3 linked regions of the Saccharomyces cerevisiae S288C genome follow. The protein of the gene in region 3 interacts with the protein of the main gene of each other region in a biochemical or structural test. Each region holds a gene or a part of one and is shown on either strand. Other genes may lie near its edges. The genes, in order: RMI1, HFM1 and TOP3.

Evidence for each region.
Region 1: the proteins of TOP3 (region 3) and RMI1 form a complex in vitro, tested with the Saccharomyces cerevisiae proteins (3 studies listed by BioGRID, with this or other methods).
Region 2: the proteins of TOP3 (region 3) and HFM1 form a complex in vitro, tested with the Saccharomyces cerevisiae proteins (one study listed by BioGRID).

The regions. Positions count from the first base shown.
Region 1 is NC_001148.4:500,849-506,456, reverse strand, and holds RMI1 (Rmi1p), read right to left. Parts: upstream 2,941-5,608; coding exon 2,215-2,940; downstream 1-2,214. Other genes in the region: methylenetetrahydrofolate reductase (NAD(P)H) MET12, read left to right, coding at 145-2,118; putative serine/threonine protein kinase SKS1, read left to right, coding at 4,274-5,608. UniProt on the Saccharomyces cerevisiae protein: Structure-specific DNA-binding protein with a preference for cruciform structures. Also binds single-stranded DNA (ssDNA). Functions together with SGS1 and TOP3 to maintain genome integrity. Essential for proper meiotic cell division.
Region 2 is NC_001139.9:25,970-34,222, forward strand, and holds HFM1 (DNA helicase), read right to left. Parts: upstream 5,668-8,253; coding exon 5,610-5,667; intron 5,458-5,609; coding exon 1,952-5,457; downstream 1-1,951. Other genes in the region: RTG2 (Rtg2p), read right to left, coding at 1-1,515; RMR1 (Rmr1p), read left to right, coding at 5,941-6,666; ZIP2 (Zip2p), read left to right, coding at 7,129-8,253. UniProt on the Saccharomyces cerevisiae protein: DNA-dependent ATPase and 3'-5' DNA helicase. Required in the control of double strand break transition and crossover during meiosis. ATPase is slightly better stimulated by single-stranded (ss) than double-stranded (ds)DNA.
Region 3 is NC_001144.5:606,693-613,216, forward strand, and holds TOP3 (DNA topoisomerase 3), read left to right. Parts: upstream 1-3,090; coding exon 3,091-5,061; downstream 5,062-6,524. Other genes in the region: BNA5 (kynureninase), read right to left, coding at 1-427; EST1 (Est1p), read right to left, coding at 733-2,832; YLR236C (uncharacterized protein), read right to left, coding at 5,102-5,425; thiamine transporter THI7, read left to right, coding at 5,675-6,524. UniProt on the Saccharomyces cerevisiae protein: Releases the supercoiling and torsional tension of DNA introduced during the DNA replication and transcription by transiently cleaving and rejoining one strand of the DNA duplex.

The sequences.
Region 1 (5,608 bases), on a different chromosome or scaffold from region 3:
GCAAAATAAAGGCAAACAGAGAACACTTCAGGTTGTTGGTTACATTGGAAGAGGGACTTAAGCTCTCACATCATCTATTTTGTTTCAAGTTCGTACATTTTTTGAAGCGTGTTGGACGGGACAGGTTGATTACATTTTTTAAACATGTCCATCAGAGATTTATATCATGCGAGGGCTTCCCCTTTTATATCGTTAGAATTCTTCCCTCCAAAGACTGAATTAGGGACGAGAAATTTGATGGAACGTATGCATCGTATGACTGCTTTAGATCCACTGTTTATCACGGTTACTTGGGGAGCAGGTGGTACTACTGCGGAAAAGACTCTGACATTAGCTTCCTTGGCACAGCAGACACTAAATATACCAGTTTGTATGCATTTGACCTGTACAAACACAGAAAAAGCCATCATTGATGATGCGCTGGATAGATGTTATAATGCAGGAATCAGGAATATTTTGGCTCTTCGAGGTGACCCACCTATTGGGGAAGATTGGCTAGATTCTCAATCGAACGAATCACCTTTTAAATATGCGGTTGATTTAGTTCGTTATATCAAGCAAAGCTACGGAGACAAGTTCTGCGTCGGTGTTGCAGCATATCCAGAAGGTCATTGTGAAGGTGAAGCAGAAGGTCACGAGCAAGACCCATTGAAGGATTTGGTATATTTAAAAGAAAAAGTTGAAGCTGGGGCCGATTTTGTGATAACACAACTGTTTTACGACGTTGAAAAATTCTTAACTTTTGAAATGCTATTTCGGGAACGGATTTCGCAAGATTTGCCCCTTTTCCCTGGGTTGATGCCTATTAACTCCTATCTGCTTTTCCACAGAGCAGCAAAGTTATCACATGCATCTATTCCACCTGCAATACTGAGTAGGTTCCCCCCAGAAATCCAATCGGATGATAATGCCGTGAAGTCCATTGGTGTGGACATTCTTATCGAATTGATTCAGGAAATATATCAAAGAACATCTGGTAGAATTAAAGGGTTTCATTTCTATACATTAAATTTGGAAAAGGCTATTGCTCAAATTGTCTCGCAATCTCCCGTCTTATCCCATATCGTAAATGAATCTAGCGAAGAAGAGGGAGAAGATGAAACCAGTGGCGAAATAGGAAGCATAGAAAATGTGCCAATAGAAGATGCTGACGGGGATATTGTGTTGGATGATTCGAATGAAGAAACTGTAGCAAACCGGAAAAGGAGAAGGCATTCAAGTCTTGATTCGGCCAAGTTGATTTTCAATAGGGCTATCGTCACTGAAAAAGGCTTACGCTATAATAATGAGAATGGTTCCATGCCATCTAAAAAGGCTTTAATATCTATTTCTAAAGGTCACGGAACTTTGGGTCGTGATGCCACTTGGGATGAGTTCCCCAATGGTAGATTTGGTGACTCCAGGTCTCCCGCATATGGTGAAATAGACGGTTATGGGCCATCCATCAAGGTAAGCAAAAGCAAAGCGCTTGAACTATGGGGTATACCAAAGACAATTGGCGATTTAAAAGATATTTTTATAAAATATTTGGAAGGTTCAACGGATGCGATTCCCTGGTCTGACCTGGGTTTATCAGCTGAAACGGCGTTAATACAAGAAGAACTAATCCAACTAAACTATCGCGGATATTTGACTTTGGCATCGCAACCTGCCACAAATGCTACATTGAGTAGTGATAAAATATTCGGCTGGGGGCCCGCGAAAGGGAGGTTGTATCAGAAGGCATTCGTAGAAATGTTTATTCATAGACAGCAATGGGAAACAACTTTGAAACCCAAGCTAGACCATTACGGGCGTCGGAAATTCAGTTATTACGCGGGCGATTCATCTGGTTCATTTGAAACGAACCTAGACCCGCACAGCTCTAGCGTTGTAACATGGGGTGTTTTTCCCAACAGTCCGGTCAAACAGACTACAATCATTGAAGAAGAGTCATTCAAGGCATGGAGAGATGAAGCGTTTAGTATCTGGTCCGAGTGGGCCAAGTTATTTCCAAGGAACACCCCAGCCAATATTCTTCTAAGACTAGTGCATAAAGACTACTGTCTTGTCTCAATTGTTCATCACGACTTCAAAGAAACCGACGAGCTATGGGAAATGTTACTCGACCAAGCCTAATATTTCACTGAATATAAATACAAAAATGCGAAAATAATGTAATATTTAACGTATACATAACGGGCAGAACGCCCTTCTAAGAAGAAGAGGCATATGCTAATCATTGGCTTTCCTTTTCTTGGAGCCGCCATTTACAAGTTGTTTGTCACGTTGTAATTTAGATTCCAAATAATCACAAAATTTCTGATCTCTATTTTCATTCCAAACTCTATTAATGCCGCCGAGAAAAATGACTTGTGAGTCCTTCAATATGAAAACGCCCCTATTGAACACAGTTCCCGGCAGTATCACAATTTTAGAACCCAGCATGCAAGAGCTCCAAGATATTGGAGTCGAGTTGATAGCAAAAAAAACGTCGCCCGACTTACTTTGTAGTGTCAATTTAAACACTGCTTTATTCTTGGCGGCACTGCTATTATTGTTGCTATTATTTTCCTTGGCGCAGTTGTTATCCGCCACATTCCCGTCATCTTCCATGTCCACTTGAGTGATGACCTCGTACTTCTTAGCGCCATTTCCTTGCGCGCCTGATCGTAGTCTATCCACTTTCTGTTTTTTCGGATCCAGCTTGGTTTTTATATCATCGATCTGTGTTAGCTTGGATTTGGTGATATTCTCTACCATCAACACCTGGAACAACAGTTCTCTGTCTACAATAACAAGTTTTTTATCTAAGATAAGATTCGAAGCAGTACCAGCCAACCAAGGTTCATTTTGGTAAGCTCTGAAAACAATCTGTTCTCTCGACCCCAAGGTGGCGGAATACGCTGGTGGTGTAATGTCATCTGTGATATCCTGTGATAAGATAGATGAAAAAGACATTCCATCCACTCGGTAGTATGTATGCTCTGCAGTATTTTGGCCTTCTTCTCAGTACTCCCTTTCTGTAAAGATTGTATGATTGGTTTATCTTTTTCCTTTTTCCTTTTCTTTTTTTTTTTTTTTTTTTTTTTCTTTTTTCTTAATAATTAGTTTCTCTTCACGCTACATGCTTTCTTGGCCCGTCCTGAGTGCAGTATCATAATTAATTTAGTAAATAAAGAAATAAACGAAGATGGACCCTCAGAGCAAACAGCCAAGACCGCTTGCATTGCAAAGTAATCTATTATTGTGCGCTGGGCCGCGGATGCCGCGGATAATAAATAGCCGGACCTGTCAAGAGGACGATAGCGGATGCGCTGGGAAGAGCTGTACTCTATGTACACATATGTATTGGTTGGAGCATATGTGCCTACATAATATGTCTAGTTGGCTCAAGCCCGTCAACTAATTAGTCTGAATGTATGGAGGCTTCTGCTGGCTCTAGCGATGTCGTCGTATTTACGTCACTGTAGTTCTCGACTCCCCGGAAAAACCTGTTCGCGTGAGCGGAACAACTTTCCATTGAGGCTTAGTGGAGGTATTTCCGGAGAGGGCATTCATCCCGGATTTCCTATTAGAATGGTGCAGTACGCCGCCCTCGCGCTCTCTACATGCTGTTTTAGCGCGCGTGATATGGACATAGATGCACCACGCGGTGTTTCTTTTCTAGGCATCAAGTGGCTTGCAGCCAATCAAACACGAGGAATGTGGGATGGAAGTACAATCTCCTCACCGCACACCCACGTTTTCCGGGACATTTCTCGGACAGACTCTTTTTTTCTTTTTTTTTTTTTTTTTGCTTCCCACGAAATCGGAACTTATCTATCAGCCGAAGAAAGCGCGTTGGACAGATACTTGAGCAGATTTTGTGGGGAGAGAGAATCTTGGGACAAATGCAAAAAAGAAATGGTCGGAACAAAAGGGCAGTATACAGGGCCGGCAGTACCTTCTGTTCCTACCACAAACCTTAACGATATCGGTGACCCTACTAAAACTGTGCAATAGATATTCCGGACCCACATCATTGCGGTGTTTTCTGAGTCCGCACTCACGGGACGAAGACGAAGAAAGACAAGAGCCTACAAATGACTATAGCGTTTTCTTTTTCCTTTTTATGCTCTTGCTACCTTTTTCGCATGAGAGGACATTCTTAAGGCGTATATTCTTATATATTATACAAAATATATTTAGTAAATTGTTAAATTTACTTATTGACTTAAATCGCCCTAGCGGAAACAAAACTCTTTAAAAGAAAACATCAAATAAGAACACAGACAAGAAATTTTGTGTACAAATGCTGTCAGACTGCTTGCTGAACAATTTCAGAATAACGGCTCAAATAGGGTCGGGTGCGTATGGACTAGTGTTCCATGTGGTGGATATACTGACGAGCCGTGAATATGCAGTGAAAACGGTCTTCAAATCCTCCTCGATGGATGAGTTTTATAATAAGAACGGTTTGAACAACAACTCTCAAGTGGCGCGAACCACTCTTCTGCAAACGCAACTGTATCATTTTTTCAAAAGTTTCCAAAAAAAATTGTTCTTACCTTCCGTTGATCTAGACTCGATATTACAGTTGACTGAGAATGAACTAAATAGGCTACCACACTACAGGGAGATTGCCTTCCAACTAAGAGTGCAGTCTCACGGCAATATCGTGAAGATTCACCAAGTTTTAGAATCTTCTATTGCCACTTTTATAGTGATGGATTATTACGACAGGGACCTTTTCACCTCGATAGTTGACGATAAGCATTTTGTAAATCATGGTATTTTGATTAAGAAAGTTTTTCTGCAGCTTTGCTCCGCATTAGATCACTGTCATCGTCTCGGTATATATCATTGTGATATCAAACCTGAAAATGTCCTACTGGATCGCAATGACAACGCTTATCTTTGCGATTTCGGGCTTTCCACTAAATCTAAATATCTAGCTCCAAATGTGTGCGTTGGCAGTTCATATTATATGGCTCCAGAAAGAATATTGTATTGTTTGAATACCACCACCAACGGCATACACGTCGACGAATGCTGTTCGAGCCTCCCTACGGATACAGGAGATATATGGTCTCTAGGCATCATCCTAATTAATTTAACTTGCATAAGAAACCCATGGTTAAAAGCTCACCAGAAGGAGGATAACACATTTCAACATTTTGCTAACGATAATAATGTCCTGAAGAAAATCCTTCCTATATCAGATGAGCTGTTCACAGTGTTGACGAAAATTCTACAACTAAATCCATACACAAGAATAGACATGAAAACTTTGATGTCCGAAGTTTCCTCTCTTACTTCTTTCACCAGGGAAGGGCCCTTGTCTCAAGTTCCAATCCTATCGAGCGAAGTTTACATGACGCATATTATAAGGAATGAAAACCTATTTTTGAGCGATTTATCACATTTTTCTGCAGACCAAGAACAACAACAACAACAGCAACAACAACAACAGCAAGTCCAAGAACAAGAACAGGAACAAAAACAAGAACAAATACAAAACCAGGAACAAGCACAACAGCAGCAAGAAGAGGAAGATGCTGAACCGGAGAGTGATATTCCATCAACGTATAATAGTGACGGAAGTATGGAAAAGTATGAATACACTAACAACCACAATAATAGTACC
Region 2 (8,253 bases), on a different chromosome or scaffold from region 3:
ATGGAAATCAAATACGTTATCTCTGATATTACCACCTGGATGAACACCGCAAATCACATACATAATCGTACCAATATACTTCGTCCACCATACAATTCTCAATGCTTCAGCTTTATCACCTTCGCGTAGAACTACTTGTTCTAATTCTTGGGAGTATTTTTCTTCAGATTCCGGAATGTTGCCGCCCCATCTACTACATAGAGCAATTCCTATCAGCGCTCTAGCTCTGTGAGATAATCCATGACAGCCGGCTATTATCCCTCTTGTAGCAACATGTAATGCAGCTGTTGGTTGTAACTCCTTTGGATAAGAGGCATGAACAAATGCTAAGTTACATAAAGCAGGAGCAATCCTTTCGTTTACTATTTCTGGTATATCTTCTTGTGGGATTGATGTTCTCAATAGATATAGATATTTTTCAGTAAGTAATGGAGCATAAGGACGGGACGCAATTAGCAATGGATCTTGTGCACGAATTTCTTTTGGAAGAAGAGAATAAAGTGAACCCTCTCGAACACCACCCTCACTAAAATGTACAGCTTTGATCTGGGGAATCGCTTCAAAAACAGCACTCATGAACAAACCAACGGCAGGAAGTTGTAAAGCCCTTCTATCAGAAACCTTAAATATTTTATGCTCTTTTGAAGAACCTGGTATTTTTTGTTTTAGGAATAGATAATCTGACATAGACGAGAATTCTTCATAAGTGCAAGCATATCCGTTAATTATTGTTTGGATGGGATAACCTTCCGACTGGTAAAGAAGCAGATGTCCCATACCTCTTAAACCACCCCCACGGGTCCAAAGGTCAAATCCACCTTCTTTCTTGGCGTCATCAATCATTTCTTGAGGTATACCAATTTTTTCAATCGCATCTTTGTACGCTTCTTTAATCTCATAAAAAAGTGCCCTATTATCATCTGTTCTCATTCTTCTCAAAAGAGTTCCAGCTCCATATGGCAAAGATACAGGTTTGCTGGATTGCTTGACTTCTCCGTGCGAGCTTATTACCCATGATAACTGAGTACTACCACCTGCCACATCTAGATATAGACCTCTTACTGTATTAAATGAGGAAACAACACCATATATGCCGACCCTAGTTTCATCTTCCTGGCCTAATATTTCTACTTTCCAGCCAGTGCTACCGTAAACAGCATTAACAAATTCATCCGCGTTAATAGCATCTCGCGTGGCTTCTGTTGCAATTACTCTGACACTAGTTTCAGGTACACCAAAATCATCGCAAATTAATTTGAATCTCTTCATGGCAGAACAAACCTCTTTTATAATATCTCTGGGAATAGGGCATTTTGCGTTCGTATGTGTATTATATTGAACTTCGTATAGAGAAAGACCAACCCTATCTTTAAAAACACAAGGCATAATTCTTGCATGATGTGCAGCCTTGGAAGATATACTAAAACGAATACCATTAGAACCTATGTCGACGATTCCACACAAGTTTCTCGACACGACCTCAGTCTCGGTATCACTATCGCTAAGTGTTGACATTTGTGGCACGCCTACACTTTTCGTTCAAAACAATCCTTAGTAAAGGACACTTCCAAGAGTGAGTTTCTTTTTTAAAAGGTACATATGAATGAATTACTAATCTCACTTCGATTCTTTCAATTGATCTAGGAACTCCGCCGGCAAAGTTATCCTATCTCGGCATTCTGACCCGGATCGCTTATCGCGGTCATGTGACTAATAATTGAAATGATAAATAGCACGATATGTAACAATAGTAATATATCAATTGACAATGTCATCTTGTTCCCTAATAAATAGTAAAGGTTCCAATTGTTTCACCACTGGCTGCATTTTAAAAACAAAGCATTATAAGTAAACTCTCACACATGCTAACTTCTGTTGGGAAGCAATACAAATAACAGAAAGGATTGGGGTAATGAATATCAGTAATGTCTATTGTTCCCGGCCATGCCGCTCATTCAAACTCTATATCGGAACCCAAGAAATCCAGATCACCATTCGGATCACTTATTGAGCTCGCCGCTGTATTACTAGAATAACTATCGGATGATTCAAGATCAATAGGAATTATTTCAGGGCAGTTTTCGGGGCCTGATTTTAGGACTTGTTCACCCGCTTCCATAGACGACATCTGTTGCGATAGATTATAAATTTTTGAAGGAAGTGTATGAACTGTCGCAATATCTGTATTTTCTTCTTGCCACTGCTTTGGTTTACTATTCAGTCTTTTTTCCAGGTGAGGGGTTGTGTTGATATTTTTTGCAAGCAGTGGCTGGCGTATTTGATCAGGTTTTGATACTGGCTTGATTGAGGAGGGTCCTTTTTCTTTTATATACTTTACTGGAATACCCTCTTTACAACATAAATGTCTGCATTGCGTTTTGTCTTTGCAGCTATGAAAACACTCGTAATTGCCATTAGATCTTACTTGGCGGCCATTACTAAAATGTGAAGAAGAGTGTGCCTCCGGGTGAATAACTGCTGCAGATTCAACCGCCTTTGATGATTTCTTCCTTTCATTCAAATAATCTAGTATACTATCATCTGAGGATAGCGATTCTTCTAATCCATCTTTATGGGAAACCCTAGACGTTTTCCCCACTTCTCCGTCACTACTGCTTTCATAGAAGAGGCATTTTTCTAAACTATTTAGATCTTTCCTTATATTTGGTGTCTTCGCAGAGAACTGTGATGCCAAATGATCAGTGGAATATACGATTGTTTTGCCGAGTCCGGCGATTTCTTGGCAATGAATTGAGAATTCTATTTTTTCTAGTTTTGGTGATATTTTTGCTGAAATTCTAAAGCCCCTTGGTGACTGTAGTTTGTTAACTTGCAATCTTCTAAAGTCGATTAACTCTCCTGAGCTTTTCTCGGTTTCGATATCTAATGAGAGGTGCTGACCATGCCAAATGCTAGACTTGAATGTTGCACTAATCTCAACTTTAAATGTCAACCACAACTCTTCATTTTCTATTTTGCAATTTTCTAGTTTTGTTCTAATATTCAGACAAGGCAACAAAGAAATGTCGTTTTTAATTTTTATGCCGTTTCCAATCTTGAGGTTAAGATAGTATTCAATCTGAGTATCTGACAAATGCCCCATTTCTTCTAGATTGGTAATTCCATGTCGTATTAGCCTTCTTACTGAAACTAGTCCAATTGTTTTCAATTGCCTAAGAACCATTGGCGTGTTTTCCCAGCAGTGACCATTCAGGCTTCGCAGTAAGAACAAAGTATTTTTCAGTGATGTTCCATCACTTTTTTCAATAAATGTGTCTACCATGCATTTTAGTAATCTAAAACAATGTCTAAAAACGAGGAATTTATCCTGAACAAGAGTTTGATGTAGTTTAGAAGCGCCTTCGTATGATGGAAATTCTAACCCACCTAACTCATATTGAATCAAAAGAGAAACCTTTTGACTAACCCTGTCAATTATTTGGCTCTGTTTCTTCTCGGTTAAAAATGGATATTTCAAAAGTGGCGATAAATTGATTTCTTTGAACAATTTTTTTTCATTGTGCCTCACCCTCATAACTGAAAACTCTTCAGAAGTGGCCAGTAAATTTAGTATCCCTTGTAATGATAGAAATTTTTTTGCGTTAATGAATTGTTTCATCGACTCAAAGGATATATAATGTCGCGTCATTGCATTTCCGTACGCTGTAGATTTGTACTCCCCATTGCTGATATCGATTATTTTCACTTTTACTAAGGTGTCAAGCAAATACTGACAGAATTGATTTATCTGAGAGTCTTCAACGGAATGAAAACTAACGTATCTGTTCACCTCTTGATATGCAGCTGGATTCTTCCCAAATCTAACGTAAAAGAATGTGTTTCGTAGCCAATTTACTGCAGTTTCAATTGAATATACAGTTTCCAAAGAGGTTTCTGCTGCTAAATGCTCGATCAAATTCAAATGTAATGAACTTTCCAAAACGTCAGTTCCATGAATTAAGTTTTCATATGTTTGCTTCATTTTAGAGTCTGTCATGATTACTGCGCACCCGTGAGTTTCAAATTGAGGTCTTCCTGCCCGCCCAATCATTTGCAGTACATCTAGGTCTGAATACTCTTGGATTTCAGAAGAGTTCCAACTTTTGGTGCCTTTGATAATGACCAAATATGCGGGAAGGTTCACACCAACAGCTAACGTTGAAGTTGAACACAATATATTAATTGAACCTGCAAGAAATTCTTTCTCAACGGCAGTACGGTCTTCTAAAGAAATTCCAGCATGATGGAAAGCGATACCTTGTTGCATACATTCATTTAATATTTTATCGGAGGGATTATGATTACATCTTTTCTTACTTTTTGAAAAAATATGATTATTTAATAAAAATTTTGCTGTTGATATAGTTGAAGCCCTAGTCGGACAAAATATTAGTACGGGACGATTATCGGCATGCTTTTCAATTATTTCAATCAATTTGGAATTATATATAGCATCTTTTTGGAAGTCATTTTTGCAATTGAAGGAGTACCCATAAACAAACTTCGTTAACTGAACTTGCCTGTACGATTCGTCAAAAGAAAGAATATTTGCAGGAAGCTCGTTGTTAGTTTTGAGCCACAATGCTAGGTCTTCTATATTTGGAACTGTTGCACTTAAAGCAACAAACCGAATGTTTTGACACATTGTATTCATCCTTGTCAGAATTACTTCCAAAGATGCTCCTCTTTTCTCCTTTATGGTATGAATCTCATCAACTAGGACAAGTTTGACCAATTCGAATAATCGGCTGTAATCGGACCATCTTCTTGTTAACAAATCCCATTTTTCTGGTGTCGTAATTATTATGTTACATTTTTTAGCCTTTTCAGTTTCCAGAAAAGAGGTATCACTAGTAAGCATACCAACAGAAAGATTCACAAAGGAAGGAAACCAGTTCTTGTACATCTCGTAACATAGAGATTTGGTTGGCGCGATGTATATAATTTTGGTGTTATTGGTATCACTATTTGTTTCCTTTATAAGACGTAATATTGCCAATTCAAATAATACAGTCTTGCCTGATCCGGTTGGTGAAGAAATTATGCAGTTCTCGTTACTCTCATAAATACTAGGAAAAGCCTCTGATTGCATTTTATTAAATTCTGTAAATTTAAAAACCCCTCTGAATGAATCTGGTAATATGGTCGTGCTCAAACATTTCTTCGCTGATTTCCTTATCGTGACCTTCTTAGGTTTCTTCGCCTCTTCATCAGGTGTCTGCTCTAAATCGTGATCAAATAATTTACTAGTTACTTGTGTATCATCTGCTGTTATTGAAAAATTATCGTCTTTGTCGAAGAATTGCAGACCACGGCCCTCAAATATTTCCTCTGTTTCATTTTCATCATCACAATCATCCAGTAAACTGTTATAAGACAAACCTACTTTAAAACTTGGTTGGCGGCTATTTTTCTTATTTCTTTTAAATGTAGCAGACTGGTCGTTAAAGTCAATATCTATAAGTCCTCTGAAATTCTAGTCCAGAAAAACCACTTTTGGTTGCATTTCCGCTAGATAATAAAAGAAAGAGGTAACAATGTTAGTCAAAATACTGTTGTTGTCCGATATGGTGTAAACTGATAAGGGTGTTGCTAAGCTTCGTTACTACTATTTGGAGAGGGTCTACTTCTTTTTCCTGTACCGAGGCGATCAAACTTTGTTTTCATCCTTACGACGCCTCTTAAGTTGTCAAATCCACCTTGAGGTATCAATCATTTTCAATGAAAGGATTTCTTGATAGATGATACTAATAGTCCCGTTTTGTTTATAATCCGGGGCAAAGTCTAAATACCCGCCGAGCCTGCATCCATTCGTGGTACATGATATGTTAAAACTACAACAAGGCATAAAAAAGGGAAGTATATATGATTAATTATATATACGTAAAGGAAAAGATACGTAGTTAAAGATTGTTTTTGTTGGTATCAATGGAATCAAAGATGAGTGAAGAAGAAGCGCATAAAACAGTGGAGGTGGATGACGTCGGGGTTCAATTGGATGAGGGCGATGAAGAAGACCTTTTGGAGTATGATGATGAACTCGTGGAGGAACAACCATCGGACGCCCGTATACGCAACGTGGCAGAGACTTTAATGAAAAGCGAATTGCCCAAAGTCACCGTGGAATATAAAGATACTACATTTCTGTTGTTCACGTCGGATGATAAGAACGAAAGTAACAACCCCATAATATGTGAAAACGCTGCTCTTTATCAGCGACCCATGGGGGAATTCATGGAATCCATTCGTAAATTTATGGGAAATCGTTTTGGCAGGTTGGCTTTTGCTACGAAGGAGTTGGTTTTACAACTGAAAAGCCTCGATTTGACCTTGTTCGAAGATAATGTCTACAACAACCATATTTCATTCAGCGATGTTTATACTATATTTAAAATCCTGAAGGAAAGATCGGAGTCTAATTTTGAAACTGATATACCGACGCACTTGGCTATTGAATTAAGTACAAGGCCAAGATTTGTCTCTCGGTACAACGCCTTGGTTGAATTAACTGAAAGCTCAGCTACGTTGAAAAACATAAAGCCATTTTCTAACGATGAAACGCATCCCTTAATTGTGGATGACAATGACCAATATACACACCAGAATACTTCAGAAGTCATTGTAATGGACATAGATGATGACGTAGGTGAGGATTCTGAAGACTAAAGTAGCCATGTTTAATCAGCACTGATCGTGGGAAATCCTGATGTCCAACGGTGAGTTTCTGATTTCCCAGTCACGGATTCCTTTTGAGAATCTTCTCCCGCGAATAAATTATTGGCTCTGTGTAATATTTAAGGTCGCCTTCTTTTTCGTTTGTATAGTCAGCAGTTAAGTATTCATTAATTTTGGATGATGCAAAGGTCCATATTCGATTTCTGATAGCCCTTCCCCCTTTTTTGTAGCGAATTGTATTATTGTTTTGTATTGTTTTTTCGTCATTTTCTTCAATTTTTTTCAAGTTTTACTTTCGGAAGAATTGCTGAAAGTATTTTCTGTTAGGATATGTAAAATACAAGCATAAAATATGTTTCAGGAGAAGAAAATCACTCAATAGTGCCACACCATTGTTAACGAGCTCGAGTAATTGAATCAATTTAGAGAAATAGATCATATTACAAAAATACTATGATTATTGAACGTTGGGAAGTAAAGTTATCTAAATGTAACCAAAATGTGGGCGGCTATTCTGTTCTGTCAGGAAACTTAAAAGAAAACATCAAACTGGGAAGACGAGCACAAAAATATTTGAAAGAGCTAAGAAATTTGCAACTTAAACCACTGAAAATCGGAGGGTATGAAAACTGCGGCACGATCAATGGTGAAGAGTATTTTTTGGAGGTAATTCACATCACCTCTGGAAGACAAAAAATAGATGTAGCCGTTGGCAAAACATGGAATGTGACTAACATTGAGAATGACAACAAAGAAGAACTACAGTATGAGTTATTCAAGGAAAAGTTAAAAGTCGGGAAACAGGACATGTTATTTTTTAGCTGGATGAAAAGTCTTTCAGTTCAATTAAATGCTCCTCTTCACCAAAAAATGACGGAACACGGTTTGGCAGACGATAACACGAGGTTAGAGTGGTTCAACATCCCACTTCTCAGAAGAAGTCAATACAGGAAAAAGGTACCATATCCGAGTTTAAGACAAATGTCCTCTGTACTGGAAGTGCAATGCAGCACACTAACGGAGGAAAAGTTGAACTTCTGCGTTGGATTTTCTGATAAACCTTTGTCAGAATGGAAGCCCCAAATTTTTGAGCAAACCTACAATAGATACCGTTTACAACGGATCTCACCTGAGAAATCTTTCAAATATAAGAGTAGGTGCAGTAAGTACAATTTCAAGACCAGTTCGCAAAGCTGGGTTGTGAAAGTCCCAGAACATGATCAACAGCTTAATACGTTTGAAAAACGTTATGATGAACTCTTTGATGCTCAATTTAATAAACTAGAATTTTTTAAAATAAGAATGAAAAAATTGAAAAAGAATAAGCCAATTGAGAAAAAGAACTATAAAATATGGTGTCTAGAAAAAGAAGACCTAAAGGATTTGGTATGGGATCCTCTGAAAAGAATTTGCAATCATTCTAGGTATGCAATATTTGAGCATGTTACCATAAATAGGGAGGCCTATTCGATCAAACCATTAAGGTTAACTTTTCAAAAATTAGATTCCGGCTCCCTTGACCTGATCGATAATCAAAAAAAGACGTTTGGTAGTATAAAGCTTGCAATGAGTATGCCA
Region 3 (6,524 bases):
AGTCTGATGGAAAGGAGCCCTTTTCAAAAAGGATCTTGAATCTTTTCTCAGTAGGTTTATAAAACGTAATTAACAATGAATTCAAATTTGCAGTGAGACTATTCATTACTGCAACTTCATTTTCTTGAGCACCCACGATGGGGGCTAGTAGTGGAAGAATAGGTAAGTCAATGCTGACCCAAGGCACCTTTCCTCTGGCTTCTTCAGGATGTTTGAAATGCGATTCCACAGCACAATCGCTCCACGCATCTAGCTCAGCATTAATTGAATTCCTAGTTGACTTCGGCATCAAACCTAAAGAATTCCCGCATAAGTACGTCACAGGCTTATCGTCGGACGATAGTCCCATGGATTTAAATGTAGGGATGTTGAATTCATCCCTCAGAGATTCCGGATATTCTCCGTCTAATTCCAAAGCTTTCTCCATAATTACCAGTTTGTTTCTTTTTTCCACAGAATATTTAGGCTTAATATGTACGTATTGACAGCATATATATTTGCTGTCTTGAATTTATTATGCTAATAAATAATTATGTTTTTCAAGCGCAGTCACCTATTTCCAAAGCGATGGGTTTGTCCGTGCCGTAGACGGCATCCCGTCGTTTTAATAACCGTTATAAAAACCGCCCCCATATTTTCGTGGGTTGACGACGACAGGCGTGGACGACGTTAATTGACGTCGTCATAATATATTTCATATTATGATTTTTTCCCTCACCATTACTTGTTCTCTCAAGTAGGAGTATCTGGCACTTGGACGGTGATGTCCTCATCAGCATCAATTGCTTCGTCTGGATATGAGAGAAAATCAGAGGATAGTGGGCCAGTGATAGTTTTTCTCCCTCGTGAAGCAGCATGTTTTACCAACTCAGAAGAAACGCCATCTTTTTCTGGGAGCGGAGACAATTTTTTTGTTCTCCGGACATTTGCAAATTGTTTTTCCAGTTCTGTCACAGCTATTTTCCCGGCTCTTTTGCGCTGTTGTTCATCTCTTTTGGCCTCAACTTTTCTCGAAGAGACTACTCTTTCCTGTTGTGTTTTTACATTTATTTTGGAGGAAATTTCCGATAATGCTATTTGGCGTTTTATTTTAATATTTGGGCTTATTAAATCAAACTTATATTTGCTGGCATTCCATATGACGCCGGTGTCATTTTTCTCTAAAAATTTCATGCCAGAAAATATTATTGATCTAATTCGCAGAACACATTCTTCTTTTGGAGAAAGCACTTTAGTCAATGTAGGGCATCCAATTATATTATTAATCATGTCGGGAGAATCATACACATAATCGTCATTAAAATCTGTTAGTGCAAAGTTAATGCAAGAAAATTCCCTGAAAATAATATCTTCTCTAAAAAGATAGCTTCTTTTCGGCCTGTGGCTATATATATTTCCTGAACAATTCAGTGGACTATTTATCAAGTCGTTCAGCAACAAGGCGAATGAAGTGCAAAACTTCCTGTGTCTGTGAGTGTACTGCAAAATAGATCTATATGACTTAATCCAGCACATAAGCAAACGAATAATGGCTAGATATCGAAAGTCTTCCATGTTTTTTTGCCAGGAGGGTTTGATGACGACGTCTATGATATTAGCAATAAAATCAAAGCTCAAGTCTAAAAAAAAAACCTGGCGCTCACTCAAATCTGCATATTTGAGTTTGTTCTTTTGTTCCTTACTTTTTCGAGTTGTAAACATAAGATCGAAACTTCCCATTGTGGCAGCCAAGTTTTCAAGTATAACATTAATATTACCTGAATGATACTTTAATGCAGCCATTTGTAAATGCTCTTTCAATAACCAACAATTAGAAGCACGTGATGCGTTCCATGACTGTGGAACCAAAGTGTGTTCTACTATCGATAGAAATTGCAAAACAATTTGACCTTCAAAGAATGATTTCTCACCTTTGAGATCTTTTGACACAAGAATTGCCAATTTTTTCATCAGACGTCTTCTTTCCGGAAAATCAGGAGTCAAAATGAAATCTTTCAAATTGTTTAACGCACATTTAGACGGAATCCTTACCAATGCTCCTCTTACTAATTCAAAGAAATACAGTGAGAATTTCCCAGTGATCAAGTAAATTTTCGCTCGTTGAAAATAAGTATCTCCAACGGCTGGGAGATAGAGTGAGGCAATATTCAAGTACCTAATAGACTTCTCAAAACCTTCCACACTCTTGGGTTTGTTAGACGGCTTGTTTAGTAGTGTTTTATAAAAATGTGTGGAACCTAGATTAATCACGCATCTTTGTAGTGAGATTACAATGGAAAACGTCAGTGGATTACTCGTGTTTAAGATAATTTTCTCATGAGTTGAAAGTCCATCTGTGTATTGCATTAAATTCAACTTCGCGAAGAGAGCATTTGAAATAACGGAATTCATATCGTACTTTGCGCATAGGTGTTCGATGATGTCATAGTAATACCTGTGTGTAATTTTGAAAAATTGAATCATTTTTTTTTGAAAAATTCTAAAAACTCTGAACTTTCTTCTGTTACTTAGTCGCATGATATCATGGAACCAGTGCTCAAACCATTGGAGTGTAGGTTCGTGAATTTGAAGCCATAAAAGTTTCAGAACCAATGGTATCACGGAATCATTTATGCGTTCGTAATTGTTATTATGGTACATATTTTCTTGTTTCAAAAGTAGCTCTTCGAGAAACCTAGTAGATTTGCGATGTATTCCATCCAGGAAGCATCTGAACGTGATATATGCATTTTCATCGCATGTCAACCTTGATGTTAGATGTTTATCCAGATGCGCACGAGCGTTCTTGAAAAATAATCTCATACATTCTTCGTTAACTTCTTCATTATCCATTATCTATGGTGGCATGTGTCATTTAATGGAATATACTTTTTCCCCTGATAAGTTTGCTAAAAACGGTCGGATCATACAGGCATGTTAACATTTCCATTATCCTTTTTGACATTGGATAATGGCGTGAACGCGAAAATCACATTGATAAAAAAAAGCAGTTTGGCGAATTAGTAACTGTCAATAAAGAGGGCATCGCTTTTGAAAGCACCTTCGTCTGTGCGCTCGCTTCAGCTACGTAAAGGTGTATTATAGACAATAATGAAAGTGCTATGTGTCGCAGAGAAAAATTCTATAGCGAAGGCAGTTTCACAGATCCTAGGAGGAGGCAGATCAACTTCAAGGGATTCCGGCTACATGTATGTAAAGAACTATGATTTCATGTTTAGTGGGTTCCCGTTTGCCAGAAATGGGGCTAACTGCGAAGTTACCATGACTAGTGTTGCAGGGCACCTAACAGGCATTGATTTCAGCCATGATTCGCATGGGTGGGGAAAATGCGCCATCCAAGAGTTATTTGATGCGCCACTGAACGAGATTATGAATAACAACCAAAAAAAGATAGCAAGCAACATCAAGCGAGAAGCGAGGAATGCAGACTATCTGATGATATGGACAGATTGCGACCGGGAAGGAGAGTACATCGGTTGGGAGATATGGCAGGAGGCCAAGAGAGGCAACAGGCTCATACAAAATGATCAAGTATACCGGGCAGTCTTTTCGCATCTCGAAAGACAACACATATTAAATGCAGCACGAAACCCAAGTCGATTGGATATGAAGAGTGTGCACGCTGTAGGCACGCGGATTGAAATCGATCTTCGAGCAGGTGTTACATTCACCAGACTCTTAACAGAAACGCTACGAAATAAACTGAGAAACCAAGCCACCATGACCAAGGATGGTGCAAAACACCGCGGTGGTAACAAGAACGACTCACAAGTCGTATCGTATGGTACATGCCAGTTTCCAACGCTCGGCTTTGTAGTAGACAGGTTTGAAAGAATACGAAATTTTGTTCCCGAAGAGTTCTGGTATATCCAATTGGTAGTCGAAAACAAAGACAACGGCGGAACAACAACGTTCCAGTGGGACAGGGGCCACTTGTTCGACCGGCTGAGCGTGTTAACGTTTTACGAGACATGCATCGAAACCGCCGGCAATGTTGCTCAAGTAGTAGACTTGAAATCAAAGCCAACAACGAAATACAGACCTTTACCTCTGACCACAGTGGAGCTACAAAAAAACTGCGCCCGGTACCTGCGTCTGAACGCCAAACAATCACTAGACGCAGCAGAAAAGCTATACCAAAAGGGGTTCATATCGTATCCAAGAACAGAGACTGATACTTTCCCACACGCAATGGACCTAAAATCCTTGGTCGAAAAGCAAGCTCAATTGGACCAACTCGCTGCAGGCGGCAGAACCGCCTGGGCATCGTACGCGGCATCGCTGCTCCAACCCGAAAACACAAGTAACAATAACAAGTTCAAGTTTCCACGAAGCGGCTCCCATGACGACAAAGCGCATCCACCAATCCACCCCATCGTAAGTCTGGGGCCTGAAGCAAATGTTTCGCCAGTGGAAAGAAGAGTATACGAGTACGTGGCCAGGCACTTTTTGGCATGCTGCTCAGAGGACGCCAAGGGCCAATCGATGACCCTTGTGTTGGACTGGGCCGTTGAACGTTTCTCAGCTTCAGGTCTCGTAGTCCTAGAGAGAAATTTCCTCGATGTTTACCCTTGGGCCCGATGGGAAACCACCAAGCAGTTACCGCGGCTTGAAATGAATGCCCTCGTAGACATCGCGAAGGCCGAAATGAAGGCGGGCACTACGGCGCCGCCCAAGCCGATGACTGAGAGTGAACTCATTCTCCTCATGGATACAAACGGCATTGGCACAGACGCCACCATTGCGGAGCACATAGACAAGATCCAAGTACGTAATTACGTTAGGAGCGAGAAAGTAGGCAAGGAAACCTACTTACAACCCACGACCCTGGGTGTCTCACTAGTGCACGGCTTCGAGGCCATCGGCCTCGAAGACTCCTTTGCAAAGCCCTTCCAGCGCAGAGAAATGGAGCAAGACCTCAAGAAAATCTGCGAAGGTCATGCCTCCAAGACTGATGTTGTAAAGGACATAGTCGAGAAGTATAGGAAGTACTGGCACAAGACGAATGCCTGCAAGAATACTCTCTTGCAAGTTTATGACCGTGTCAAGGCATCCATGTAAGGCGTTTTTGCCGCCCTTTGTCTTCAAAAAAGCTCTCCGCTTAATTGCATGATTCAGCTGACTGCATATGTGCATTTTCAGTACCAGCCGCAACTGCATCAAACCATGCAGAAGTCGCCGCCACAGAAGCTCCAGCGCGCCGCGTAAACGCATGTTGGAAGGCGCCCCAATTAGCATATTCACGCGCGACTACCAAACGCATAGGGAAGGTTTCAGAGAGCCGATGAGCAGCGGATGCACAGAGTACGGCCATAAGGCTGCAAAGCGCTTGGCAGGAATGGGCGTTTTCTAGAGGTTGCCTTATTGATTTATATGGAAGAGGAGAGGATTCATCGATCGGGCTTCTAAGGCAAATAGTATGCATACCTTTTTCGGGTAGTTGAAGAGAAAAGAGGAAGAGAATAGAAAAAAAAAAAAAGCGAAATTTTTACATCCTCTATTGTAATGTAATTTCTTTTTTTTTATTAGGTATATATGTGAGATACAATTCTCGAAGTCATCGGGAAGCTTTACCATTTCATTTCCTATTCCAGAACTCATATTAGCATCTATTGTTCTGAGATTCATCGCAACATCATTTAAAGGACTGTAGAGCCAATTGCATTATATCAATATGAGTTTCGGTAGTAAAGTCTCCAGGGCTTTGAGATTTTTGGAAATTCCTGTCAAAGACAGGGCATCTGTGAGTTTCTTGAAGAACCCGGATTTGCAACCTATTAAGTCGGCTAACCAAACATGGGGGTTCTGGTCTAATTTTGCATATTGGGGTGTTATGTCCTTTTCAGTGGGTACATGGATGAGTGCCTCTTCTGCACTAGGTGTTGGATTAAGTTACCCAGAAACCATTGGTACATTTATCGTCGGTGATGTGTTGACCATTATTTTCACATTGGCAAACTCGTGTCCTGGTTACGACTGGAAGGTCGGTTTCACTTTGGCCCAAAGATTCGTCTTTGGTATTTACGGTTCTGCCTTCGGTATCATCATCAGAATTTTGATGAGTATTGTCAACTACGGGTCCAACGCTTGGGTGGGAGGTCTTTGTATCAATATGATCTTGGATTCATGGTCTCACCATTATTTGCACCTGCCAAACACCTTATCTTCGAAAGTTGCCATGACCACTAAAGAATTAATTGGTTTTATCATCTTCCACGTCCTTACTGCATTCTGTTACTTAATGAAACCCTACCACATGAACTACATTTTAATTTGGTCGTGTGTTGCTACATTTTTCTCTATGTTGGGTATGGTGATCTATTTAGCTAAACAGGCTCACGGTGTTGGAGAATTGTTTACCTCCACTAAATCCACTGCCACTGGCTCCACCAAAGCTTGGGCTTGGGTTTATATGATCTCGTACTGGTTCGGTTCCGTTTCTCCAGGTTCCACCAACCAAAGTGATTACTCGAGATTTGGTTCCTCCAATTGGGCTATCTGGGCCGGTACCATCTGTGCATTGT